4 linked regions of the Lytechinus pictus genome follow. The protein of the gene in region 1 binds, or shares a complex with, the protein of each later gene. Links are inferred from orthologs where the notes say so. Each region holds a gene or a part of one and is shown on either strand. Other genes may lie near its edges.

Region 1 (7,102 bases):
AAAACACAATTTTTCATTCGGTCATTGCTGCTCTAATTGTGCATCGAACTTCATGATTTTGGTATCATTGTAAAGAAGAAGAATCATTCTTTCAGGTCATGTGTTTGAATCGCCCACTTGTTCACTGCAACCACACTGCAACCACCCTGCCTGTGGGGAATCTACAGGTTGGACTATGGCATGCCAATGCTGTACAGAGCACACACTTTAAAAAATGATTAAAATATCACTTTTGTGACCAAAATTACTAATTTCCATACAGTTGCAATTTATTTTTCATTAGTAACTTGGGAATAATTTTTGTATTTACTAGAGCGCTCAAAAACTTTAATTTTTGGCATATTTTTGTGTACGCCCTCTATTGGTGGAAAATAATATGGCAAGAAAATTATCATTTTTTATCTGTTTTTAATTAAAGTTGAATTAAGAAGGGGGTGAGTTTCCATAAATATAGGTTCTACATACAATATATAGTATATATAAGTTGTTCAAACACATAGCATGTCACAATAATCCTCTGCCTTCTCGATATTTTGCTTTGAAAGTCTATGAAATTAGCCACCTGTCAGAGCTCGAGAGACGAGTGTACAGAAAAGTCACTCGGAGTGTGACGTCACCGGGGAGAATTTAGTATAAGAGGTGCCTGAATGTCATACAGAAATGCTATGCAGAGAGAGAAAGATATTTTACAATTTTTTTTCAAAGCAACTCAAATCAAACAAATAGGACTGATATGTACAAATCTTTACTTTCCCTGTATAAAAAACAGTATGAATAACCACCATGAACTCTTCAATCATGATGTAAGATAGCAAACAGTGAGTTATTGAATGATATTTTCACTATTTCTCATTTATTTTATCACGATGTTCAATCAAGTGAGTAGCTGGAAAGTAATTCCGGCGGTTAGCTCAGCGCGCGCTGAACGCATAATACTAGTACACACAACACCCAGGCATTGAGTGTACTGTTATGGTCTGGTATGTCGACTTAGTTCATGGCCGTGCAGCGATCCCCTGGCGTTTTTTCTTCTTTTCTTTTGTCTTTGACTCCACTTTTATATCCTCTGGATCATTTCCACTCATAGCTCATTCCACAGAACAATCTTGAACCAAACGTATAGTATTCTTTCTCGGCCTTCTGAGCTGTTTTCTATATTTAATTACGCTAGGGGTCACCGTCACACATACAAACGCAATTCGGAAGTGAGTTGAAGACAGAAAGATATATAGTAATTAGTATACATCTCTATGGTTGAAGACAACAAGAACGGTACGGTAGCTCGACAGCTAGCTGCGCCGGAGCGGGCGGCCGGTCGGCACAAAGCAATTCCGCAACCAACTGTGTTTTTTTGCAAGAGCCGCGTCACACGCGGATAAATATGTCATAATAACACGTCTGCTACGTTATCGACTGGTGAGAAGATCTCGATCAAATTTCATATTATTCTCCTTGAAATTATTCCTTTAGGGTCTATGGTATCATTCTGAGGGAATTCACATATTTGGAATAATAGTACGGCCACAAATATTTTAATCATTTCCTCTTTGCAAGTTCTATGGCTCGCAGATACAACTTCAACTGCAGTTATTCCATATGAAGGAGTACGTGCATAGTACACAAAACGGCACTGCCTTGTTTACTACACCGGGACCGAATACCCCCCGGTGACGTCACACTCAAAGAACACCCGTCTCGGTAGGCATTGCAGGAGCGAACTCAGGGAAAATGGGTAGGGATAAATCGTTCAAATTCACTATTTTGAAAAAAGAAAATGGGGGGTCGTATCACCTATAAGTGTTTGGGGGGTTGTAAGGTTGCTATTAATGTAAATATCTCAATATTTGGAATCGTCTTCTTAATTCAACTTTAAGAAAAAAATAATTTAAAGAATCAAATTTACTTAAGGGCCAAGTTGTATGACGAATAGGTGTAATGAAAACTGTCAGTGTAAAAAAATCAAGCATTTGTCCCAAAGAAAAAGAGAAAATTAGCCAAACATTGCCATCCTTATTTTGCCACACATGGAGATATAACTGAGAACAAGGTTATTTCATAACCTTGTTCATTGAATGAGTGGTATCGGCTTTAATTTGTAACAGTTGAGCGATATCTCGTTCTTACGTAGAACGGTTCTACGAAAGACCATTTCATGCAACAGGCCCAGCCCAGAAGTTCAGCTTTATGGTGATATCATTGAGGCTCAAAATAAAAAGTTATGCACAATTTGCAAAAGAAAACAGAGGAAGAAAATTCAGTTTTGAGGCACATTTTCAGGCCAGAAATTTACTTATTTATCAAAATATTGTAGGCCCCTATACAAAATAAATGACCAATATGAGAGAATAACATCTAACAAGTTACTCACTCTATCTGATGCCTGATAGTGCAATAATAATTTATTTGTTAAAACAGGTAAATTCTTAGAGAAAGTAAGAAAATCTCACGAATCACAACAAGATTTTGCAAGGAGGCCGGAGCCGGAGGAGGATTCAGCCACGAGATGATTTGGATGAATCTGGTCTTTTTGCTCATTACTTTTTTAGCATAGGGAACTGCGGTCTGACTGCGTACCACCAATAATTATGTGAGTGCCCCCCCCCCCCCCCCCCGGTACTCACCGTTCGGACCACGACCACGTCAACACGGCTCGCGACCGCGATCCGACGGGGTTCCCTCCCTGCACATGCACGTCATGTGCCTCCGACTTCGTCCCGAATCCAAGCCCAGTCCCAGGTGTAAGAAATTGTGTTGGAAGCAAGGTCCAAGGACATGACCATGAAGAAGGAGCATAATTTAACTTCATCAGATTTTCCTATCAATTACAAAATGAGACCAATATGATAGCTCTACATCTAAATCATAACAAATAATTATAACCAAACAAACTTTTAATCAATATTAAAATTACTAACCTATATAATTTGAGCAATTCTGCGGTAAGTCCAAGTCAGTGCCAAGCTAAGTGGACAGCAATCAATCCAGCGGAACGTATGTGCAAAGCGCACGTACGTCGCATGCGCATATTTTTATCGCGTGCAAGCGCAAGCGCGAGCGGCGCAGGCCGGTGTCATTGGCGAATTAGCCCGGAAACCGGCGGTCCAAAACGGCTAGCTGATTAGTACCGCCAGTACAAAACCGCTAGTCGATCGGGCCCGCCAGATCCAAATGACTGGTTCAAATTTGGCCGAAACGATAGGAGAGCCGCCTTTTGGTTCCATATTTATCAAATCTTTCTAAGGCAGTAATTATAATTATTTACTTTGATAAATGTTTCAAAATATATCTTTGTGTAATTTTAATGTAATTTCAATATTTCCGAAATTATGATTTCTATAATTCTGTTTAAAAATGTTTTTAAAATAAAGGTAGGCCTATTCAGCTTCATAAAAGAAGGATTTTTTGCACGTGAGCTATGTTGCTCGCGCACGCGGTTTTGGTGGGCCCACAGGGTGCAGAATACTGGATATGCACCAGTTTATTATTAATTTATTATTATTAATAATTTTTGATATTATTATTAATTGCTATCATTATTACCATCATCATATATTACTATTATTTGTATTGTTATTTTTAGGCTACTATATATTAGGCAGGCGCGGATCCAGAGTTGAAACTTTCGGGGTGGTACAGGATCCAGGATTTTTAAAAAGGGGTGGCATGATTTTACCCATTGAAAATTTGACAAGTAATAAAAAAAATTGCCAACTATATTTAAGTTGTCTCCTTATCCATGCCATCTTTAAATACATTGCTTAATTGTAAATCTAGAGTAAAACAAATCTATCAAGAGATGTTGCAATTAGATGTTGAAAAATCAAGGGCCGAATTATTTTGAATAGAAATTTTAGATGAAGAAAATAAAAATTCTTGGTTGTTTACATGGACACTGAAACTCAAAAGTATTCAAGATAATACCATAGCCCATTTTAATTTCAATTTTATGTATAATTTACTACCTACTCTCTGTAACTTAAAAAAAATGGAATTTAACAAACACATATATTCAGGTAGTGAGTGCAATAAGTTGAGTGATTTATTACATTTGTTTTAGTTGTGTACAGAGGTTGATAAGTTTTGGAAATACGTTGAAGCACTCATAAGAAGGTGTCTAGTTCAAAATCTTTGTTTACGGTTTAAGAAAAGAAAAAGAAAAAGAAAGGAATTTAATATTGAATAATGCATTATATTCGATTTACAAATATCACAAGATAACATTAGTTACAATGAAAAGATGAAGCTTTATGATTTGAATATTATGTTCATATATATGTTTTGGAAAATAGATATGATAATGAGAGAGGTAAACGAAAGGAAAATGTGTATATGAATATTAGCAAATGGAATTTAATACTGAATAGCTTGTTGAACTTTTGTTTGTGTACTTTTTTAAAATTATGCGTGTATATTTTTTATTCAAATAAAGAAGACCAGTACTGGTTTAAAAGAAAAAGAAAAAAATATTTAAGGTCAATAATCCGTCCGCCAAAAAGTCAATAAGCAAAAAAAAAAAAAAGGTTTTCACCAATATTTAAGGTCAATTCGTCTCTCTCTTTTTTTCTCCCCTTCAGAGCTATTAGATACATTTCTTTATTATTCGTGAGTTTTTTTTTCTAGCATTACTATATCTGAAAGGTATCCGTATTATCCGCCTAAGCAGGGCCGTAGCTAGAGGGGGGGTATGGGGGGGGGTGCGACACCCCCCAACATTCGTGGCAGTCGGCAAAATCATGTACCAGTTGGCAAAATGGAGGATAGGGGAGAAAAAGAAAGAAAGAAAGAAAGAAAGAGAGAGAGAGAGGGGGAGAGAAAGAAAGAAAGAAAGAAAGAAAGAAAGAAAGAAAGAAAGAAAGAAAGAAAGAAAGAAAGAAAGAAAGAAAGAAAGAAAGAAAGAAAGAAAGAAAGAAAGAAAGAAAGAAAGAAAGAAAGAGAGAGAGAGAGGGGAGAGAAAGAAAGAAAGAAAGAAAGAAAGAAAGAAAGAAAGAAAGAAAGAAAGAAAGAAAGAAAGAAAGAAAGAAAGAAAGAAAGAAAGAAAGAAAGAAAGAAAGAAAGAAAGAAAGAAAGAAAGAAAGAAAGAAAGAAAGAAAGAAAGAAAAAAAAAAAAGGAAAATAGGGGTACTAACTTTGAAGAAGGTTACGACTTTTAGAGTAAAGACAACCAATTGGCAAATCCAAGTCCATGTTGCCAGGCTTAGAGCCCTACAACAACCGCGTAGCCAGGATTTCATTTTGGAGGGGGCGGTAAATGCACGCGAAGCGTGCCTACACTTACAGAGCGCGCGAAGCGCTTCCTAGGGGGTGGGTGCAGGGAGGGGGAGTTTCCCCTCCCGCGCGAAGCGCGAAGCTTTTGGTGTTTCATAAATTAAAATGAAAAGGAGCCGTCTCTCTTGTCTCTAGTACCTATATCAGCTCCAATTTAGTTGACTTTATTGTGATTTTGAACCTTGTTTTCAAAAGTGATTGTGAACGCACGAAAAGGAATACAATGGAGGAAATTAAAATCATTATAACCCCGCGCGAAGCGCGGAAGCTAAAGCGTTTTATCAATTTCTTTGCCATGAAAAGGGTCCCGAGAAAAGGGTATTCTCAAAGATATATTGAATACTTCCCTTGGAAATATCAGATTTGATTACAAACAATTTAGCGACAGTGCATATCTTTAACTCGCAAAACAGAGGAGAAGAAGTGTATATGCCGGGAGGAAGATATTCCTCCCCGCGCAGAGCAATAAAACTCTGAAATTTCAAAGGGCGGACGTTTCATCAAATGCAGATATATCTAATACCCCATCGGCTCTAATTCAATTGATTTCCTAAGATTATTGAACTTCATTACAAGGAAAATAGTGCGCAAAAAGTTGAAACTTCTGTGATTTATTAAAATAATATAAAAAAGGATGCCTAATTTCTTTGACTTATCCTGAAGCGCTTCATTTTGAATTATAAAGAAACCTAAGTGTCATTCAAAATTTCAAACTGAGGGCGCAAAACAGGACAGGAGATGAATGTGCAGGGAAATAACATGAAGATTAATAGAATTTGAAAAAAATATTGTACTTTTTTATTTAATACGACACGAATTTTATACATTCCTCTTTTTAAATTAGGAACCTGTTTGCCCCAAATTATGATTGTTTAGTAATGACCTGAAAAGCGGGAGAAGTTGACTTGATGGAGGTGACGGCATAAATTGATATAAAGATTTTACCCGCCCGGAGCCGACCCGACCAGAAGTTGCGCGATCAATAAAAAAAAGATAACTTCATATACTTCGGCCTAACCTTACTCTTATTCCATGCCCTAATCTATACATTTGAACTTTAACTGGCAAGAAACACATATAGCTGAGGTGGAAAAGCAGAGTTAGAGAAAGGGTGGGGAAACAATGGAGAACTTCAATATTGTCATTTAACCGCGCGCAGCGCGGAAGCAAAATTCATATATAAATCTAAAGCAAGTGTGAAGGAGTTTCTCTTTTGAGAAAAAAAATAAATTATAAAAAGAAAAAAAAACCGACAAAGCTACCTTTCTTCCCTTTCCTCCCTTCCCTTTTCATTTTTTCCTCTCTTTTTTCCCTTCTTTTTTTTTTCTTTTTGGGGACGTTTTTTGGGGGGGCGACCGCCCCCACCGCCCCCCCCCCTGGCTACGCGCCTGCCCTACAAGTCAGCAAAATACTAAGTACAAAACAGATGGTGCTATAATAACACACAAAGTAAGCCCCCGGTCCTCCCCCAATATGAACAAGCTTGTTAGTTTGCAAATTATACCACAATTATTGACGATTTAACAAACACATTAGTTTTGTAAAATTAGAGGCAAGACTAGGTACATAAATATTGGGTGGGATGAATTTCCAAGGTTTAAGTTGAATAATCAAAGCCAAAGTATAGTTGGCAAATTATAAAGTGGCAGAACACTATACGCTCTACCAGTCAGCAAAGTGATGTACAAGTACTGCCCCGTTTCAGATCTGAAAAGAACAGAACACAAGACTTAAAAAACTGGTAAATCTGCAGTTGGCAAATTCATTAAGACAAGTCTACAACTTGTAGACTTGTCTACAAGTTTGCAGTTGGCAAAAAACACAAAAATGTTCTAAG
Region 2 (6,867 bases), on another chromosome or scaffold:
TTCTATTTGAGAAAAAAAAATCCAGAATTTTCTTGGTTGACATCAGGGCAACCATGGCGGGACTTTCAGGTTGCCCACTGGTAGTTTTGGTTGCCAATGGCACCCAGGCAGCCGCTAATTTCGAGCCCTGCCCTTAACCCTATCTAGGCCGGGGTATTTTGGAAGTTCATATGGCCGGGGGGGGGGTCCTCCCAGCCCCCCCTGTGAGATCTCGGCCGTTGGCCATGCAATCGCACTGAAAATTGGCACGCAGGTTGTCTGGGATATAATGCTATTTATTGCTATAAATTATATTATACAAATTGCTATTAAGTGATTATGCTAATTATGGGGGGAGGGGGGGGGCGGTCCTCCCAGGCCCCCCTTGAGATCTCGGCCATTGGCCATGCAATCGCGCCGAAAATTGGCACGCAGGTTGTCTGGGACATAATGTACAATATTGTATAGTAATTTATTTCATGCAAATTGCTATTAGGGTTTATGCTATTATTTATGCGTAATTAGTATGTGAAATCATATTTTTCCCTTAGCTCCCTAAATAAAGCTCAAAATGTTCTAATTTTTGGTATAAAAAACGTTGTGCTGTTCTTAGCAAGTGTACATTAAAAAATTGTTATATCAGATCAATTTCTTATGTATTATATTGTTTTTTGCAATTTCTTATGTATTTCTTTGTTTTTTTGGACCTTTCGCTTTTCATTGTTTTTACAATGAAATTTGTAGGGGACTCTTCTGAGATCATAAACAGCATAAAATAAATACATTTAGACTGGCAAAACTAAAAATAATCATACATTTATGATTTTTGGTTGAAAACACAGTTTGCATTGACTTTGTACACGAAATCATGTTTTTAAGCAAATTTTTGGTCTGACATGCACTTACATAATGTTGCGTAATTTCGGAACGGCGTACCTGGATGACACAAAACTGGTCTCAAAAGTTGTACAAGACTTGAAAGTAAAAATTCAGCAAGCGACGTGGTCAAAAAATTTCGCACGGCGAAAATATTGCTCGAATCACAATAGTTGCACTACTACAAGTTCTCATGGCAAACAATACAGGTTATGAACCCGTGAAGAACTCTTAGCTTGCTGGCCCAATGCCCGCGAAAAAAATGCAGGTGCCAAAATCACGGCTGCACAGGCTGGTTATGTGACTCCGCGATGGCCGCAGGGGTTCTCTATTGATATACAAATTCAACCTCATGAACTTCACGGCATGAGAGCTCAGATATTAACGTCTCACCTTACTAAATGAAGTATTTTGGTATAACAATGTACAAAACTTACATAAACTGAAGTAAAAGTGTTCATTGAAGTTGAATCCAAACAGACTTACATAATTCTTTGATAAATCCACGATTACCCTGCTGCTAGATGCCATTGGACATGGACCACTCAAAACCTTCCCAAACAGGACTCTCAAAGAAACATCTTGGCGAGTGCCTTGTCTGTTCTGTGCCAAGGGTCCAAAGACAACATTCAGTGATTGACTGAGCTGTACTGCTGACTCCCTACAAGGGATCATTCCTGACCGACAAACTGGTCGTATATCGACTGCCAAGGAATGATAATGGGCATTGTACAACTTATCAGCTTTGAAGAGTGATGCCAGACCAGCCTTCCAAGAAAAAAAAAGATGAACAAGTTATCAACATTTTTTTATAACATCGTGCACCATGCACATCACAGAGTTGTTTTATACTTTAAGAGAATGAATATATATATAATGCAACAGAATGTATTTCTGCTTAATTCCTAAATTTACATTCATAAATTATTCCTTAAAGAAAATGTTTTCTTGTATGGCTTTGTAGATATTAGAAAATATGTCTACAAGGCATCACTTTGAGGAATTCACAAACTGTAGATAAATGTACCCTATAAAATTCATTCAGCCTCTTGGAGGCATCTCACAAATTTGGTGTAGCAAGCCAGAAATCAGTCCTGACTAAACAAGAATTTCAGTCCACTCTTTCCTGAAATACTAGGATTATTCTAAAATCCTCAAATATACAAGGATAAATATCAAACACACGTTATTGAAATCCTGCTTACCTTAAACCTATAATGAGATACCAATATTATACAATAAATAATACATGCACTTTTAAAGCAAAAATTAATTTAATCACATACCTTTGAGTCACAAGGAAGCAGTTTTTTCCAGGGGGTCAAGTTCTCAGTGCATACCACCTCACGTGGAAGACTGGCATGGCGAAGAAGACTTGTGTTTCTACCATATGCTTCTGTGTACATCAAATTAAATTGAAAAAAAAAAAAAAATTTAATTCATGCAACAGCTCATACAAAATCTTTTACAGTGTTTCTATGTAATATATTACAAGCATGACTTGACATTTATACGTTGTAACATAGACCGAATAAGACCAAATGGCTGCTAACTAAGTGACAGTATCTCCCTAGATACTTCATTATCACCATATATACCATCTCTCAATCATATATTTCATATTACGTTGATAGTTCTTACTACCCTTGTTGACTTGTAACTAATAATATTTATCATGTCTTATAAAGGAGATAAATTTGTTAATAAATCCAACATTGAGACCAGTGGAAGATTCAATATCTTGAACGATGAACTGGAAGGTGATGCTGCCGACCCTACTGGCCCAGCTAACCATGCTGCACGCTCCACCACTTCCCCTGGCCATACCTCAGCTTACAGTCCATCTTAAAGCTGCAACAGACAATTTCGAGAAGATCATGGAAAAGGCAGTCAAGTCAATGCAAGATAGCATAAAAAGAACCAGAGGACCTTGGAATTTGAGAGTCACAGAATAACTGAATTAAAAGGGAAAAACCTGGACCCGGAGAAGCACCTTGAATAGCAAGAGAAGGCAAACCAAGTGTTAGAAAAGAGGGCTGCTAGCCAAGATGATGAGATGAACTTAGCTGAATGTATAGTAAAGAACGACACTCAGTCAGTGAGTGTCTTATTTACGAATGAGGCATACTCACCTGTCCCTGTTAAACATTGCTATTCACCCCCACCCCACCCTCAACAACACTGGTAAGATCTCCCACATAATTTCTGCATGCCCCTGGCACATACAGCGTGCAACCCGTCAGGGTCACCTTGTGACCTACATCCCTCGTCACTTCCTCTTTCACGACCGCGCGCCCTTCCAACAACACATAAGTGCATTGTACAGGTGATAAAATGCAACTTTTGTGCCTCTAATTTTCTTTTTCTTACACCGCTGCCGATGTCTGAGTTCAAATCCGCCTGATAAAGAACCCAATATTGCAGTGGGCATGGAAACCCCACCAAGTACTGAACATGAGAACACAACCTCGCCGGCGGGCAGAAAAAACCTGCCAGCAGGCACAGAGAGCGCGGGTGCGTTGGCTACCCGCTCAAATTTTGTCCCATCATTGCCCCGGCCTAAAAAAGGGAGTAGATTGGAAAAAATATCCAAGGATTGACCTATCGCTAAACGTCCCCTTGTGCAGGCTGGGAATGTCCCCCTGGCGGTCTCCTTCCCAGACCCTATAGTGATATGGAGACTTCGATGGCTATTTATACAAGCCGACCATGTACATACCCCCTTCCCCGTAACTACTTGTAAGTTGCATCGAGCGAGCGGAGGTGCGGACTGGCCTGGACGGACGTACATCAACACATTATTTCGAAATTTGAATCGAGCTCAGCCTAGAGTACAGGGTCAGAGACCAGACAAGAATTATCGAGAACAGCAAAGATTTCACGGTTCGAACGTTGTAAATTATTCTATACTATTGTTTATACAGTACTTACTATTCGTGCTAGAGTAAGAATAAGTATACTCAATTTGATATAAAACCAAAAGAGTAACAAATCATGACGAAAACCTCAATTTGAGAACACTATACCTCAGTTTCCCTTCTCATCAATTCTCTTCTCCAAGTAAGACAAAGAGGCTGTTCTCACTACGTTCCTAAAACTAGTTTACTGGGAACCGGTTCAGAAAGCCAGTTTGGAAGATCGCTTTGCTAGCGTTCTCACTTGATCACACGAAAGTGGTTTTCAAAATCACTTCACGTAAAGCGCTCTTGTTGCTATGGAAACGCTCTCAGTGGGGTGACACGTTTCGCGCGAAATTCGAAACCGCAGCATAGGCATTCTACACCTGTCGTGTGGAGTAGCGCGCTCAAAATGTGCGAAGATCGCTTCCCGAAGAACGGTTGTGTCCTCACTTACGCTAAAACCACTTTTCCGATGCGAAGCGATCTTGAAAACTACATCGCGAGGTGGTCTTCCAAACTGGTTTGGAAGAGCGCTTCCAAGAGCGCTTCGACCGTTCTCACTTAGCGTTAAACTAGTTTCCACTAAACTAGTTTCAGGAACTGAGTGAGAACAGCCTCATACCCTAACTGTACCAAGCAAGCAGTTTAAGTATCAAAACACCTGTTTCTTGACCTCGGTCTGAAGATAACACAACAGCCCGGCATATACAGTCACAGCAGGGGGCCACACACGATGGATTGCGATGTGTGTAGTTCTGGTGAGTGTCTAATACCCCTTTCATAAACCCAATAAAACATATCCTCCAATTAGCCGCCTAAGAGTAATGCGGATAATTCAATAAAAATTGCGTTCACAAACTCCATAAATTATTTTTACGAGCGCCCGTCTTGAAAAAGGCGGATAATCGTCATGACAACTGGACAATAATTTTGCTGATTAAATAGTCAAGTACAAACACTGCCTGAAACAATTATTGGCAAAGCACGAGAAGACTGAAAATATAGCAGGTCAATGGAATAATGTATCATTGAATGTTCCAAATAATATCTACAACATTTTCATGATCCATAATAGGGGCAGCCCTGATTTTTCCGAACCTATTTTTGGCAATGTCCCGTACCACACATGAAAGTGCAAAAGTTTTTCCTACAATTTTTTTTTTGATGATGCAATTTCACAAAATCAGTTTCTCTATCTTTGACCCATGGGTGATCGATTTATCCCATAAGGATCTAATTACTGTCCTTCATTTTTCAATAATTGTCCTATTAATAGTTGTCCCGTACGACACACAATACATAATGCATTTAATTACATGATTTGGATTCAGAAACTATAAATAGTAGACCTATTTTAATTCAAGTAATTGATTTGACATAAAGTGTACTGAAAAGGTACTTTTTTTATCTCCATAGAACATGAAATAGGTGATTCTAACCATTTTAATTGATTTCATGTAGGCGTATTCTTTTTTGAATCCCTCCAGCTAAACTGGTGATTTTCTTTGGTCAGAGCAGGTTAATTTCTTTGTCATTGAGCGTGAAAAGAAAACCTTTATAATTGATTCACCCTAGCCTGGAAGATGACTTCCTCTTGCATGCTAATGTGGAATTATTATAAGATGTAAAAAAATTACATATCAATCATCTATTTGGACTTCCCTTGATGATCACTTACTTTTTTATATACAATATTGAAACTCCTTACTTTTTTCAAGTTGTAAAAAAAATCTGGAAAATAAGACAAACCATGTTGTTCACAAAAAAATCTGGAAAATAAGACAAACCATATGGTTTCATGAAATGCAGAAAGGTTTGAACAAGTAGAAAAAAATTTCTTTAGAAAAATATATTTTGTGGAATTACAAGTGACAGTTGTCATGTATATATACATTTTATATGAAAAATTATAACATTTTAGCCCCATAATTTACACAAACAGTTTCATTCATTCATTGTTTAAATAGTGTATTGGAAATCATCAATTAATTCACTGAATATAACTTCACACAAAACCTCAAGTTTTTCAGCCCGTAAAAATGCTGTGAACCCTTGTACATTTCCCATCATGAAAATAAAATGATGACATATTGCTTCCGATTGTATATATTGAGGTTACTTAATTATATTGTCCTGAATGACTACTTATTAAAAGACTTTTCATTAAAAAGGAAGAATTTAGGGGCAATGCTCCCCTTCTGATTAATAAAAAGTTCATTGTTTTATTCAGGCTGCCGAGTACAACACGCAAGTGCCTGTACAACACTCAAGTGTCCCGTACGACACACAAGTGTCCCGTACGACACAGAAGTGTCCTGTACGACACACAAGTGTCCCGTACGACACATTATTTTGTTTATGATAATTGACAGAAATATTCAGCCAATAGCGGTTTCTAACATAATGAATGTCTTTAGTTTGATAGGATTATCATTATCATCAGCCAAATAAAGTGATTGAAGAAGTCAAAGAGACATAAAGTAAGAAAGTTTGGCTTCAATTTAGAGATGTCCCGTACGACACATTTTGAGTGTCCCGTACGCCACAATGTTCTCGAAAATTGCAATTTGCTTTATTTATTCATGAAGGATTATTTTGCTTTCTTTCATAGATGTGTTTGTTCTTGGGTAATTGAATATCAATTTGAGTTCAGTTTCTATGAAAATTATCTGTCCAACTCACAGACTTTAGAGTACAAACTTGAGGTTTCTAAAAAAGTCACTTTTTCTGCGTCCGTACGACACATTACTATTTTAAATCTGTATTATACAGGATGTGAATTCAAGTTATGTTAAGTCTTTGTTTTTCTAACACTCTGGTAGTACTTGATGATCACCTTTAGTTACTGGAATATATTTAGTTTTTCTTGTCAAAAAACTGTCAAATGTTCTCTAAATGTCCCGTACGACACGTATGGAATCACCCTTTACATGAATATGTCAGTTGGCCCAAAGGAGCCGCCATATTCAACTGCTAATACCCAAATGTTCTCCTTATTTGATAAATCTGCTGCTCTGAGGTCTGCTTGTTTGGAGCCGAGGCAAGGCCGAATAGAGAAAATGGTTGCCCCACAGAATTGGGTTTCAAGAACTTTAGGGGCTGCTGAAGCTGC
Region 3 (7,052 bases), on another chromosome or scaffold:
GCAGGACTTGAATGCTTTAAATATGTTCATTTTCTGGTTGGGTTCACTAACTTTTGAGCACCACCGTACTGTATTATGTACAGGAGATAGTTTCCCAAAAAAATCAAACAGATCTGCCATAAAGCAAGTGCCTTCCATATCTATTATTTATTGTTTTGCTCTAGCATTTTAGTCATTCATGGGATTTTAATCCGATGAGTGCATGTCTAAAAGCTTCAGTATGTCTGTTGTAAGGCTATTTTACGATAATAAATGTTAGTAAGTGCGACTCTAAGTAGAGTTAAGTCATACCCCAAGATCCAACCTTGTTCACTGAATAAATGCCCAGATCCAGCTCATCAATTACTTAGCATGATTAGTTACGAACAAACTACAGCTGGCAGCCGTCTGTTTCGAGGAGTTTTTTAACATTTTCATTTTTTTTTAATTTCTCCTCATACACAGACGGCTCGCGATCGTGCAGCTGCCATTAGGGGGTTAACAATGCAAAATCCCCCAACGGGGCTCATTCATAGATTTTTGTCTTTATTTCATAAAAATATACAAAAAGAACTGGACCAAAATTAAGATTATTATTTCGTTTTGGCCTGAAATGCACCAAAATGGGGAAAAATAAACTTAAATTAAAAGGAAAAAAACTTTAAAAAGTGACTTGCTTCGGCTGTCGCGCAACTCCCACTTCCCTGGTTTATCTGAACTTAATACATAAACATATGGCCATTGAGTCCCTGTACAGATCGAGTTAGAACTTCAGTCTCTGTAATAATTAGTGAGTGGAGCCAACGGAGTTGAGCTTCAGCCAAACAAATATAACAGAGACAGAAGCTTTTATTTTTGTTTTAAGTTTTGGTCTACAAGTACAATAGTACTACAAACAAACATGCCCGATAATATTTAATAAATTAAAATAAATGTTCATCCGAGCATTTATTTTTTTTCAGTCTATGCCCATAATCAAATTAATATGGCACAGTCACACAATGTTGTGATGATCGCGATCGTGATCTTGGCCATTTCATTTCAGGCCAAGGCCAATGGCAATGCCGTATTCCCAGGCCAAGGCTACGGGCAGAGCCGGGGGCAGGGCCTGGCGGACATGGGCCATGCCCATGGCGGAGCAAAGGATAAGCTGGTGCGGAAATTCCAACCTCAATGTGCACCTGCCATTTATTATTACTAACTCACCGGATCTGTTTGTTTCCCTTCTTACAGTCAAAGTTTTATCTCTGTATATCATCCAAACAATGTCAACATTCGAAATGTAAATAAATGTAAACTATCTCATTTCTTCCCACAATTTTGCTGCCCATGATTGATCTACAAAAGGCGCAGCAGACGTACGTGACGTGATCGATCGAAAGGTCCTTGTCACATGCTAATATTCTTTGTCACGTGATATTCAGGAAATGGTATATTCTTTCTGATCTGGGATAGTCAGAGGGATTTTTTATAGAGGGGCCGATTTCACGAAAGGGTCTTTCCAAGGACCGTCTTTCGTGTCGCCCATCTTTTATGACGCACTGTATGCTGGATAATTCTTAAATGTACGATAAACAAATAAAATTTGTTTGCTAGCATTTAAATCAATTTGTATACAATTTCATGATATAGCACATCATTATGTAAATAAAGATTTGAATAAAATATGTTTGCAGGTAATTTATTTAAAATGCGTTTAATTCACATGGCGCATCTTAATAAATGGGCGACACGAAAGACGGTTCTTGCAAAGACCCTTTCGTGCAATAGGCCCCATATCTCTATGAGAGATACTGATAATATATCTCTATATATGGGGATAGGATTCTCTTCTCGGGGGGGGGGGGGTCCTCAAGGGTAGGGCTAGGGAAGGAGGAGTGGGTCACTGCATGGGTGTTGATCCCGGATAGCCTGGATTATATTCACGGTAGAGGGCCGTCACGTGATGATATGATAATGAAGATAGTAGAATTAAGGGAATAGAATATATTTTCAGTTCCAGGCCCGGATCCAGCTTTTGCCAATAGGGGGAGGTAGCAGAAAGATATTTTCATCCAGCTGATTTGGGGTTAGTTTTTTCGAGGGGGCATGCATGCATGCAGTCCTATAAACTTTTTGAGTACATTTGATATATCTCAGCTTTACTCTCAATTAAGCAGAGCCTTAATAAATCATGCGAGTGCAATTAATACCCGAACGGCATATTTATGGTTATATTCCCGGGATTTAAAGGAGAATGAAACCCTTGAAACCAGCTGAATCCATATCAAAGAGAAAAATCAAAGAAACATTTTGTTGAAAGTTTGAGGAAGATTGAATGAATAATAAGAAAGTTATGAGCATTTGAATATTGAGATCACTAGTGCCATGTAGATCCTCCCATCGGCAATGCGACCAAGATCTGTGATATCACACACGTACAACTCCCTCATTACTTTGGTACTTATTTCACTTATATTCTCACTTTTATAGAGTCTATCACAAGGTGAGGTGTTCTCTTTATGAGATGACAAGTACAGAGGTTTCACAACATTATATCATTGATGAATCGTTTGTCATATGATTAGAATGAGCAAAAAGAAATGTTTTGGGGTATATTTTCAGTGTCCAAATGGGAGAGTTGTACGTGTGTGACATCACAGATCTTGGTCGCATTGCCAATGGGAGGATCTCCATAGCATTAGTGATCTCGACATTCAAATGCTCATAACTCTTTTATTGCTAGTCCTATTTTACTCAAACTTTTGTTGATCTTATTTTTTGATTTTTCTGCTTTCACAAAAGCTAACTTGCTCCAAGTGTTTCATTCTCCTTTAAGGAATAATTTTTTAATTCACAACATTTCAAAACTTATTTATTTCTGGAGTTTGGATTTTATGTTTGGCTATAACTTGCAGATATTTCCATCGGAGCAATTTTCGCCGGAGCAAATGTAAGGTGCAACCATCTTTATCTTTCTATCTATCTATCTATCTATTTAATATCTATCTATTTATATATCTTTCTATCTATCTATCTATATATCTATCTATCTATTTTTCTATCTATATCTATCTATCTTCTATCTATCTATCTATCTATTTCTTCTTCTTCTTTTCCTTTCTTTCGTTCGTTTGTTCATTTGTCTGTTCATTTGTTTCTTCGTTCGCTCGCTCATTCACTCGTTCGTTCATTCATTTGTTCATTCAGTCAGTCAGTCATTCATTTATTCATTGATCATTCCGTTCATTTAGGCCTACTCACTTTAGTTCAAATACAATCAAAGGACAAGTCCACCCCATCAAAAAGTTTATTTGAATAAAAAGAGAACGTTCCAACAAGCATAACACTGAAAAAAGTTATGACATTTTAAAGTTTCGCTTAATTTCACAAAACAGTTATATGCACATCCTGGTCGGTATAAAAATGAGGAACCTAACGATGTCATCCACGTCACTATATCTTTTGTATTTTATTTTATGAAATGTGAAATATTTTATCTCCTCATTGTCAAGTGAAACAATGATTAATTCCTCCATGATCATGTGGAAGTAGCATATTATTTAATACTATATGGTTCAGTCAAGTTGGTCCTTATTGTCAAAACTGTAAAAAATGAAATATTGTAGAATTCAAACAATAAAAAACAAAAGAAATAGTGAGTGAAGTACATCATCGACTGTCTCATTTGCATGTCACTGAGTTGTACATAATCACGGTTTTGTGAAAAATAAGCGAAACTTTAAAAAGTCATAACTTTCTTGTTTTACCTCCGATTTTGATGAAATTTTGAAAGTTATGCTAGTCTGATTTTTCTCTATTATTGATTTTTTTTTTTCTGGGGTGGACTTAAGTAAATTATCTCTGGCCTTAGCTCTCATGCAGCATTGAGACTACAAAGAAGAAAAATGCAAAGATATGCGATAAAAAATAATGTATGAAAATAAGATTAGAGCAAAAGTACTGGAAACACAACAAAAGCTACAATATCCCCCCCCCCCCCAAAAAAAAAAAGATGCGCTAATAGCAGACGACGCCGGTCGTCGCGATATCGGGTAGTCGGGTACCCGCGGCCGCGCGCGCGCAATACCGGTATCGCCTGGAAAATTTGTAGATTTGACCGAGTCTGAGTCTGAGACTGTGAGACTCTGAGTGAAATTTTGGCGTAAATTGCTGATTCAGCATTTATTTGCTCCTCAACTATGGCTAAACAAGGGTCAGAACGCGAGGAGAGTTCAGGTAAATAAGATAAAATTATAACTTTGTTAAATATTTTTTCTAGTGTCGATTAATTAAGTTCCAGCTACCAATCAGTATCTCAGTGACCTTCGGTCCCATGTGTGGAGATTGGTGTAACGTATGCGCGTCTTTCTTGTAATAAGTTGTTAAACTTAAAAATTAAGACTTTGTGTGTCATATGTTAGCTATAGAGTAGGGCCTAGACCTTATCGCAAATGGATATACGCAAAGGATCACGGGACCCCAGCTTGCATGCTTCCTCTTTCTTTCTTTTTCTTTCTTCCTTCCTTAATTTTTAATCCTTACTTGCTACCTTTCTTTCTTTCTGGCGAAGTTTCTCTTTTTTCGTTTCTAATTCTATCCTTTCTTCTATCTTTCCCGCTTGCCTTTTTTGTTCCATCTATCTTTTCAATCTTTCCTAGCTTTCTTTCCTGATCTTTTTTCTCTCTCTCTATGTTCATTATTCTTTGTTTCCTTTGCTTTGTTTTCTTGTACTTTCCTTCTTTCTTTAAATTTCTTCATTTTTTTTTTTGCTTCCTTGGCTTCTCCCTTCCTCTCCTTTTTCTTTTTCCGAAGTTTTTGTTCTTTCTTTCTTTTCCTTCTTCCATTATTTTCTTCTTTTTAAAAAATTCTCTCTTCACTTCATTCTTTCCTTCCACTAAAGTTTCATCCTTTCGTTCTGTATCTTCTTTCCTTCTCTTTTTCCTTATTCTTTCTTTCCTTTTTTCCTTCCTTCCTGAAATTCCCCTTTCTTTCTTTCTTTCTCTTTCTTTCTTTGTTTTCTTTTTTTTCTTAAAAAAAATGCAGGAAATCTTTTTTCTTCATTCTCTCTTTCTCCTCTTTTTCTTACTTTCTTCCTCCCCCCCCCCCCCCCCCGGCTTTTTTATTTCTTTCCATTCTTTCTTTCACCCATTAATTCATTTTCCCTTTCTTTCGTTTTCCTGTTCTTTTCTTTCCCTTTTTCTTTATTGATTTCAAAGAATGGAGGAAACCTTTTTTTTTCTTTCCTTTATTCTTTCTTTCTTCTCCATTCATCTCTTTTCTTTCCTTTTTTTTCTTTCTCTCCTTCATCCTTTCCTTCACCCATTCATTCACCTTCCCTTTTTCTTTCTTTCTTTTTTTCTTTTCTTTCTTTTTTCCTTCCTTCCTTCCTTTCCTTCTTTTTTTAGTTATTTTCAGTGATTCCCCTTTTTATTTTGTGTCACGTTCATATACAAAAGCACATGAAAATATATGAGGGAGAAAATTAATCAAATGGTGTATTGACACCAATTTCGGTCATAGGAGGTAAAATCACTCCTAGTACCAATGAGGTCCAAACATTACATGTATGGACCTCATAGGCGACATAAGTGATAAAACCGGTTAGACATTGCCGTTTCTATTTGCACCCAAGGACTTTGGCAAATGTACGCCTTAATACAAATTGGATGGTAAAATTTTTGGTATGAATTAGTTTTAAACATCATAAATAATCTTTTACAATGTTTAAAAGTTAATGGATTGAGGTTAAACTTACATTTTCAGTCTTTTTTCTTGAATTCTTGGTGAGCGTTCCAAACGCTGTGAGGACTGATCAACTCCGATGTGATTCACGTACTGGTCAGCTGATCGGTCAGGTGATCGGTTGTTATCGGTTGGTTATCTTATTGTCAGACGTTCATAATTTATATTACAATATATCAATCTTCAGTATCTTGATTTCAAGCATCAGTATTGCAGAGAAAAGTCATTATACTAGATTGGAATCAGTGGCAGATCGGGGGGGGGGGGGGTTGAGCATTTCTGGCCTGTTCCACCTTTTGAGATTCATAGTCAATATTTTGGATGTAAAAAAGAAAATATGTCGTTCATACAAAGTTATGTCCCCCCCCCCCCCCCCACCTAGCTCCCTTATGAGAATCACAGCAATATTTGTAATGGGGATATTTTGTTCATATTCTTTGCCCTTTTTTGCTTCTCAAATTTATTTTACTTTGAACAATATGACTTTCTATATTTAGTGACAAACTTTTTTATGGGGGGGTGGGGGGCTTGCCAAATATAACGCAGGACAAGATGACCTTCTTTTTTTAGTGACAACTTCTTTTTTTTGTCAAATTTTACGAGAGACAAAATGACCTTCGATCATTATTAGTTAAACCTTTTTTTTTGGGGGGGGGTAGGGGGCTCGCCAAATAGTGACACACTTTTTTGTAAAATTTTACGCAAGAAAAAATGATCTTCAATCATTATCAGTTACCTTTCATTCGTTTTTTTTTGGGGGGGGGGGGGCTTGCCAAATTTTATGTGGGACAAATGACCTTCATTTTTTAGTGATTTTTTTTTTATACTTGACAAATTTTAAGAGGAACAAAATGGCCTTCAATCATTTTTAGTTAGAACCTTTTTTTTTTGGGGGGGGGGGGCTTGCCAAATATTTCACAGACAAAATGAACTTCAATTTTAGTGACCAGCTTTTTATTACTTTTAAAATTTCACGCAGGACAAAATGACCTTCACTTTTTTTTTTATGTTAACCTGGGGGGGGGGGCTTGCCAAATATTACACGGACAAAATGACAGTATTTTATTTTTAGTGACCATTTTTTTAAATACTTTTTTTCAAGCTCGTCAGGGGGGCAGGGATACGTCATTTGCATGGGTTGTGACTCATCGGGGGGGGGGGGGGCAGTGTCTGCCCCCCCTTGCTCCCCCCCCCCCCGTAGGTACGCTAGTGCTCGGGACCTACATTACGTAACTTTTATCTTCCACATATATATATATATATGCCCCCTCTTATATACCCCTGTTATGCCCCTGCACAGACTCGTCTACATTGATTTCGATATTTAAGCGTCATTATAAAATTATAAC
Region 4 (7,535 bases), on another chromosome or scaffold:
TATTATATTTCAGCAGTTCTGTATTCCATCCTGATCTGAGTAGCAATTTAATTTACTCACTGCACCTCGTACGTACAGTAAAAATAATGTTTAAAATGTTATACAATGCTGTGTACTATATGAACTGGACAGTAGTTGTTTAACAGTTTAAACATGCGACCATGCTTTAACATTGAAGATTAGATATTAAATATGATATTTTTGTTTAAGAATCAACAACTGTAATTTGATGTATGAGGTTTTTAAACTATTATTTTACGAAACGCTTATTCTCCACTTTCTTCAGGTTAGAGAGAGTAAAATTTAACGAGCAAAATTAATAAGATGAAACATTCGATATCTTTATATATTATGTACATCATTATTGTATTATATTGTTATTATTATATGATATTATATTACTATCATAATAGATATTATTATCATTATCATTATTATTATTAGTAGTAGTAATAGTATAGTAGTAGTAGTAGTAGTCAAGTAGTAGTAGTAGTAGTATATTATAATCACTTTTATCATTGTCATTGCGTCGTTGTCATTGTTATTGTTATCATCACCATCATCATCATCATTATCACCAGAAGGTATAAAAATAAAAGAGTGTCATGAATTTGAAATGAATGGGTTTTTATCAGTATCTTATTGGAGAGCACCGTATATATGCATAATAAACTATATACAGTTCTGTTTGCTGTGTGTGGGAATATTATGCAGTTATTTAATTCAAATGAACAAGTCTGATTAGGGTTAATGCCAGAGAAGAAAATATACTTATTAAAACAACTCGATGACCGAACCCATGATTTAAACAAACAAAAATAAATGTAACTCTTGACTCATTGGGCAAACATGAATCGGTGAATAACTCCATAATTATTTGTTTAAAAAATATCATCAAAGTTTTTATAGATTGATAAAAACTTACCTCGCTCAAGTTATGTACTAGTTATGCAGTGGTATTTTTTTCACCCAAGATACCAAAGTTTATCCAACTCACTAACTAGAGGAAAACAATTATACATCTGTACGTTATTTTGTGGAGAAAGAGATATACAATTAAGGCCAACACTACGGCATTCCATCCTTATTATTGATTTCTCCACCCATTGACAATAATTTGGAAGATCGATAAGTCCGTTCCATTTTAACTTTTATTGATTTATTCCCACAGTTGGTAAATATGTGAACGACTTGTAACAGGCACTTGAACGGTGTTGGAGTGTCAATGCTAAGGCCATCGCGGTGTAAACTGGTAATGTGGTGTTAAAACTAACACCATGCAGTTGGTATCTCTATAGAGGAACACACAACGAGGTGTTGAAATTATACCCTATTAGAGTTTGAATATAGGCCCAACACCAAACCTTTTAAAGTAACAAGTGTTGAAAATCACTATTTGGTGTTGAACAAACACTACAGAATTATCACCGGTGTAAAATTATTGGTGTGGTACTCATGTATACAGCATAACACTACAGTTTATGCTGTCAGGTATACGCTATACAATCCGAACAATATTAAGCCCCATTGAGGAGAGGGTCACTCCCCCCCCCCAAAAAAAAAAAAAAAAAAAAAAAAAAAAACTCGACCAATGGAGTGGATCGACTTTACCTCCGCGAGAAATTGACAAGCCCCCCCCCCAAAAAAAAAAAAATAAAATAAAAGGGGTAGTCTCATTTGCAGACCCTTCGCTCGAGTTGTGACTATAATGACTTGGTTACTGAAGGCCCTCTCTGTGTGAAAGAAAGAGCAAGTTGTAATTGTGGTAGTCTTGTTAATCAAAGTTTTAATCGGGGTCTGTGCGGCCTGCAGACTAGGATGGGGGGGGGGGGCTTTTCAACCCCCTAAAATAAGACAGGTTGGTGAGGGAGCATGCGTAGGCAAGGCAAGTATGCGAGGGAGAACAGCGAACAAGTGACATCAAGACTGATAATGTTCTATAGGCAGATCCAAGAATGCTGCGGCTACATGCATTCTTTCCCCTCCGCGCTCGCATTATTTCTTAAGTCTATGGAGATATCTATCTTGCTTGTAAGAATAAATATGTTCTTATACCATAGAGATATATACGATTACTTCTACTCATTAGATTGGACTACACCCAGAAAAAAAACCCAGCAAAAATCAGGATTTATCAGTCGATCGGGGAAAATTTTTTTATTGGTGAAAGCTGGAGCCGCCCCTGAGGCCCCTTAATCGAAAGTAATCTGTTCAGGGAAGTATGATGGTATATGTATGGCACCTATAAGCCTCCCTTTTTCGCGCCTTGTCAGCAGTTTCAAAGCATATCGTTTTTCCCCCCTTGTTCACTCACCAAACCGTTCTCTCCCAGAAGCCCTTCATTTCTGGTGAGCGTTTCATGAACATTTTCATCCGACAAGTTGTCAGATCTGACAACTTTCCCTGTTTCTGATTGGCTTGTAGAAACAGTGTTACTATGGTAATTGTCGGATAAAACAGGACTTGTCAGATCAAGGCCTTTCATGAAACGCTCCCCATCAAGAGTCAGTTCTCGAAGACCCATTTTCATGTTAAATTCTAGTTCCCAAGCACCCCCATGTAAATTTACTTCAGCACCCCCAGTAAAAAAAAATCGTTCCCAGAGCCCTGCCATAATTATGCAAGCGCCATCTTGTTCTTAAGCCCCTCATCATAACAACTTCAGACTTTGGGGCTGCGCGTCCACATCCTTTCCATTCCACCCCCCCCCCGGCACTCGTTCACGAGAGAGTAACAAAACATAAATTATGACGACATTCATTCACATCTCTCCACTACTGCAAAGGAAAGATCGGGTAAATGACTAAAGATATCAATATTTCAGGTAGGGGGATGGTCTGTGTTATCATCCCTCCAATAATTTAAGTTCGAACATTATATTTCAACGTGATGAATTGTATGACAAATTATATCAATTATTAATATAATAATTGTTATTATTATAATTATTGTTATTATAGTTGTTATATTATAATTATACTATTAATAATAATCATGATGAGTATCATGATGAATTTCGCGATGGTTATCTTATTTACGGATAATGACCATTTATATTGTTTCGCTTATAATTTTTATTATGTTTATTGCTGTTGAATGAAACAATTTCTTTGGAAACTATGATAAACAGATGCTAATTGGAGAAAGAAAATATTCCAGGATGAAGTAGAATAACACGTTCATGATGATGTTTTTATGCATGACGTTTTGTTTTTTTAATTTACCCCCCCCCCCCCGCAACCAATCGCATGTTGTGTGCCTACTTTATTTAAAATATTACTTCATTTTGTTTCCCTAATTCAAGTTTATATAAACAAGAGAAGAAAATATAAAAGAAATGATATTGAAATTTAAAAGAGTGTGTAAAAGAGATATATCCATGAAAACCGATAACGGTCATCAAAATGCACTGGATCATTTTCAGGTCATTTTTTCTTTAAAAATTCAGCTAGCACTTCGCGCTCGCATTATTGATATAGTCCTTATAAGTACTAGTATCTAGTACTAGTATTGTGGAAAGAAAGCTAATATTATACTTAAACTTCGGTGTTAATGACTACCCCTCCTCCACTATAGCTGGCAAACCAGACGTGAGATTTGGAGACCATGGACCCCCCAAAAAAAAGTTTCATGCAAGAAAGAGGGAAAGAGGTGAAATATGATGTTATTTAAAATGTTTTAAAATTTTGCTCGCTCACAGCTTTTTATAGTGCCCGTTTTATGCAATGTCTGGATCCCTAAAAATGTTAGACTCGTAATTCCACTGCCCCGCCTCTAACTAGTAGAAAAAAATCCCTCACAGAGAACAATATTTTGTGTCAGTCACCCCCCCCCAACCATGAACACCGATCGACACCCATGGTTGTGGCAAAACTTTGCTTACTAAATTTTCACAAAACAGGTAAAAGAGGAAGTCCTTAATTCGCTCACTGTTTCTTTTTTTTCTTCATTATTTGCACAATACAATATCAATTATTTTTACAGATTTGACAATGAGAAGGTCCTACCAACTTTTCAAAACAGTAAAGTGTTCAAATAATGGTAATTCCACATGTTCAGGGAGAGACGCTGTTTCATGTGACAATGATGACGAAAAATAAAAATGTTGATAGGCCTATGAAAGAAACTGTGAGTGGGTATTGTCATCAGTCCCCTCATTTTTATACCGACCAGGATGTGAATAAAACTGTTTTGTGAAATTAAGCGAAAATTTGATATGTCATAACTTTCTCAGGGGCCGCGGAACTGTTTTCAAAGTGGGGGGGGGGGGGCTGACCATTCAAAAAATCACCGTTTCTTATGGTAATTTTTACGTTTTTGTACAAAGTTTTTGGAAAAAGGTAGGGGACTGAAGCCCCCCCCCCCCCCCCAGCACCCCCACTTCCGCGGCCCATGTTTCTCATTTTACATCCAATTTTGAATTGTATAATGCTTGTTTGATGTTTCTCTTATATTCAAATCCCGGTTCAAATAAAATTTTGGTTTGTGGTACATCGTGAACTAACCACATGTATGCCGCAGATGGCGACAAACAGAATGCTGATAAAATGGCAGCTTCCATGGTTTTTGTTTCTCTGATTGGAGTGACTGTGAGATCTGTATTGTTTTACTCATTTGTATCAAGCTGGCTGACCGATCGAGTTGAAATTTCTACACCTCTTACATCATGGAAATCGAGTGAGTGAAACAGATGTTTAGAGGTCTTTAAAGACTTCTCTGTAATTCTCATTGAGCCGCCGAGGCGAGGCGAGAGTTAGTTAACCCAGGCCCAGGGAGCAAATCAGCAATGAATGGCATCCCGTCTCGTCCGCGAAGCGGGCCGGAGGCGGAGCCCAGCCTTAGGGCCAGGACTCGTCCGTGTAATATTACTATTTAGGCAGACATGGAATATGGATACTTTCCAAAATGGGGTCGCAATATAGCACTCCAAATAAAAGGGGGGAAAATAAATTATGCACTTACCTCGATTATAATTAATATGGATGAAGGTCATTCTAGCAAGGCGGCTTCTTGAATCTTGAGAGTAAAAATCATTTACTAACGTAGGCTTACTTAGTCTTAGCCCACCCACGGCTACATCTCAGCCGCCGACTACAGAATAATTGAAGGCACGGCGCATTCAACAAATAGCGTTAATTTACGAAAAATTAATACGAGGACTTACCAATCCTACGAAACTTACAAAATGATGTGAAGTCAATTCCTCATAATTTGATGAATATCTCTCAAAATGCGTCATTTAACTTAAGCGTTGATTGTTCTTCTCATTGACAAAATACGAAAGCTACCTTTCTAGCTCTCAAATTTTTCCTCTAATGAGCGAAAGAGGGCGCGCGATTTATCTTCATATCAAAGACACTAAAATTGAAAGACTAGACACAGAAATTATCTTACACGTAAATCGATGCAAAGCGTTACGCGAAGTCGGCAAAGTGTTCAATCTTTTTACTGTAAAGACTTTGGTGGAACGTTAATTGACAAACGAACGGTAGCACTTGCAGGGCTTTGTTCAAGGTACATAGAATTTTCTATATTTTTTGTTTAATTTGTCATCGTTTTGAATATTTTCCAAAAAGTATTATCGTCAGCAAAAATAATAAAAAAGTATGTTTTTTAAGTTATTGCATTTATTGGGGTCTCTATTTTATCAAACAATTATTGGAATTGCGCATACAATGAATCATGAATCTAGTTTAAAAAATACCACCAAGCTGAATTAAGGTTGCGAACTGTATTAGCGCCACCAACGACCTTCCTTTTATTTCCGTGGAAGAGACGTGCGAAGCCACCCAGGCGGAGGTAAGCGATTTTGCTCTTTTTTGTGTCCTTTTTAAATTAAAAAATATGTTAAAATTGATAATGGAACGCTTTCTACCAGAATAAGCCCTGGTGAGTAGCAGAATGGGTTTCGGCTAACATCATTCACGTTATGAAGCGATGTTAACGACAACTCTAAAATCCACTACAAAAAGACGTTGGTTGTGCGAGGTTCGTATAGCATATACTAACCTCGCAATAGTGTGAGTGTACTTAGCCTGGAGGCGTCTGGGGAGTAAAAGTCATATACTCTACGTATGGTTACTCCCCGAACGCCTGACGTTGCTACATATAGGCTCCCAAGCACCGAGGGAAAAGGCAACTATAAAAATGCGCCAAACTGCTAGTTATGTTTAGAATCTGAGGTTAACACTTCTGTACATGGGTAAAAATATTGGTTGGCAACGTTTGGCAAAAAATGAATAGTTATGGTTACAGAATGACGAATAAATGACATGAAGTAATAAAAGTAGAAGAGAGTTTACTTACACTTGTTGACATCGCCATCTTTGATCCTTTGTTAATGCAACCTTGTTACATGACGCATATAGAGGGCAGCAAAATCATGAGTGGTGCTAGATTAAAAAGTGCTAAAATGTCCCGCTTCAACTTGCTTCAACTGGTCTATTGAAGCAACGAGAGCGTAGAAATGTCGGAAATGAAGTTTTATCCCATGTACCGTAAGTAACGGACTATAAACCGCACCCCCAACTTTGGACTAAAAAAAAAAAAATGATAATAATAATCCTTCTCACATTTACATGCATATTTGAGGTACGAAGAAACAAAAAAGATTTCAAGGTATCCAAAGAGATTACCGGTATGCGGAAATCTGCTGTTTGATCAATTCATCTAAATGTTAGCAAGAAAGAAAGGTCCTGACAATATTGGCCACTTACACACTCACCTCACAGTCACAGTGTACACACACACAGCACTGCTGTTCTTACATTGCAAACTACGATACGGTACCAGCAGTACCTCTTATCAAATTATGATGTGTCTTTCCCGGCGTAGGAGGAAGAAACATTCACATTTCTTGCATCACAACCTCACAATCACTTTCAGAATTTGTCTAGCATTCGATGTCTTAGCATGAATTTTGGATACGGGATTACAGGAAGGTTCAAGAAACAAAGAAATTTGCATTTTTTCCAATTGTTTTTACGGCTTCGTGCCGTCTCTCTCGTTGCGTGGTGTACATGGTATCTTATGAAAAGCAAACGAGAAAGAAAAAATAAGCTGGCGCGAAACGGGACTTTGGAGGGGTTAAAATGAATAGCGCCAGGTTAAGTCGCACTACATAGCCACAATACAACGCAAGCTAGCTCTAGCTCTCAGCTCGCTCAACTCTCGTTCAGCTGTGACAAAATATTACCGAGTATGCTTGGTTTCTCTTTGAACTTAGCCAGGGTACTTCGCTGTTTTGAATCGAGAATAAAGTCGAAATTAGTGTCATGAAGGTGGGTGCGTTTGTTATAGACAATATTTGATTAAGATCGTAATAATCGCTTCCCATTACCCGCGGCTCATACCCCACTAAATGACATTGCCCTGGGTGGCTACGCCCGGCCACTCGATGTGTTGTGAACTGGCAGAAGTCTTACATGTTCGGGAGGGGTTACGGCGGGCTGGCTTAGACCCGTCACCGTGGATAAACCGCACCCCCGTTATGCATCTAAATGACTAATGTCACGTTCGTTCTCGGTATTGATCAG

What was found.
Region 2: the proteins of glycosylphosphatidylinositol anchor attachment 1 protein-like (region 1) and GPI transamidase component PIG-T-like are in contact, whole or in part, in a cryo-EM structure (PDB 7W72), measured with the Homo sapiens proteins. The link is inferred for Lytechinus pictus from reciprocal best matches to the Homo sapiens genes GPAA1 and PIGT. Residues at the interface, in NP_003792.1 of Homo sapiens: Arg97, Ser98, Val99, Gly100, Glu102, Tyr104, Arg134, Ala135, Pro136, Arg137, Ala138, Ala139, Ser140, Thr141, Glu142, Arg171, Gly172, Gln173, Ile174, Tyr199, His200, Asp201, Val202, Leu212, Gln213, Gly214, Arg215, Ala218, Arg311, Tyr312; in NP_057021.2 of Homo sapiens: Gln91, Gly92, Phe93, Arg95, Arg97, Tyr98, Ser108, Phe211, His212, Thr213, Ser214, Asp247, Phe249, Ile250, Arg340, Gln355, Tyr357, Val358, Ser359, Gly360, Tyr361, Gly362, Leu363, Leu371, Tyr373, Lys441, Asp459, Pro460, Asn461, His462.
Region 3: glycosylphosphatidylinositol anchor attachment 1 protein-like (region 1) and GPI transamidase component PIG-S-like share a complex: the UniProt entries of both Homo sapiens proteins name them as parts of the GPI-anchor transamidase complex. The link is inferred for Lytechinus pictus from reciprocal best matches to the Homo sapiens genes GPAA1 and PIGS.
Region 4: the proteins of glycosylphosphatidylinositol anchor attachment 1 protein-like (region 1) and phosphatidylinositol glycan anchor biosynthesis class U protein-like are in contact, whole or in part, in a cryo-EM structure (PDB 8IMX), measured with the Homo sapiens proteins. The link is inferred for Lytechinus pictus from reciprocal best matches to the Homo sapiens genes GPAA1 and PIGU. Residues at the interface, in NP_003792.1 of Homo sapiens: Gln245, Leu310, Arg311, Arg313, Phe358, Leu359, Ile371, Ala389, Leu390, Trp393, His397, Leu500, Ile504, Leu508, Cys512, Leu515, Thr516; in NP_536724.1 of Homo sapiens: Tyr349, Ile355, Phe356, Cys360, Ile363, Val364, Leu367, Leu368, Val371, Leu372, Leu375, Ile377, Tyr378, Ala379, Gly380, Ser381, Phe386.

The regions. Positions count from the first base shown.
Region 1 is NC_087256.1:9,673,124-9,680,225, forward strand, and holds the start of glycosylphosphatidylinositol anchor attachment 1 protein-like, read right to left. Parts: upstream 3,001-7,102; 5' UTR 2,916-3,000; intron 1-2,915. UniProt on the Homo sapiens protein: Component of the glycosylphosphatidylinositol-anchor (GPI-anchor) transamidase (GPI-T) complex that catalyzes the formation of the linkage between a proprotein and a GPI-anchor and participates in GPI anchored protein biosynthesis. Binds GPI-anchor.
Region 2 is NC_087246.1:41,756,690-41,763,556, reverse strand, and holds the start of GPI transamidase component PIG-T-like, read right to left. Parts: upstream 3,005-6,867; coding exon 2,988-3,004; intron 2,707-2,987; coding exon 2,648-2,706; intron 2,252-2,647; coding exon 2,142-2,251; intron 1,624-2,141; coding exon 1,342-1,623; intron 1-1,341. UniProt on the Homo sapiens protein: Component of the glycosylphosphatidylinositol-anchor (GPI-anchor) transamidase (GPI-T) complex that catalyzes the formation of the linkage between a proprotein and a GPI-anchor and participates in GPI anchored protein biosynthesis.
Region 3 is NC_087245.1:38,640,743-38,647,794, forward strand, and holds the start of GPI transamidase component PIG-S-like, read left to right. Parts: upstream 1-4,052; 5' UTR 4,053-4,160; coding exon 4,161-4,197; intron 4,198-7,052. UniProt on the Homo sapiens protein: Component of the glycosylphosphatidylinositol-anchor (GPI-anchor) transamidase (GPI-T) complex that catalyzes the formation of the linkage between a proprotein and a GPI-anchor and participates in GPI anchored protein biosynthesis.
Region 4 is NC_087246.1:56,750,977-56,758,511, forward strand, and holds the start of phosphatidylinositol glycan anchor biosynthesis class U protein-like, read left to right. Parts: upstream 1-4,523; 5' UTR 4,524-4,547; coding exon 4,548-4,677; intron 4,678-7,535. UniProt on the Homo sapiens protein: Component of the glycosylphosphatidylinositol-anchor (GPI-anchor) transamidase (GPI-T) complex that catalyzes the formation of the linkage between a proprotein and a GPI-anchor and participates in GPI anchored protein biosynthesis.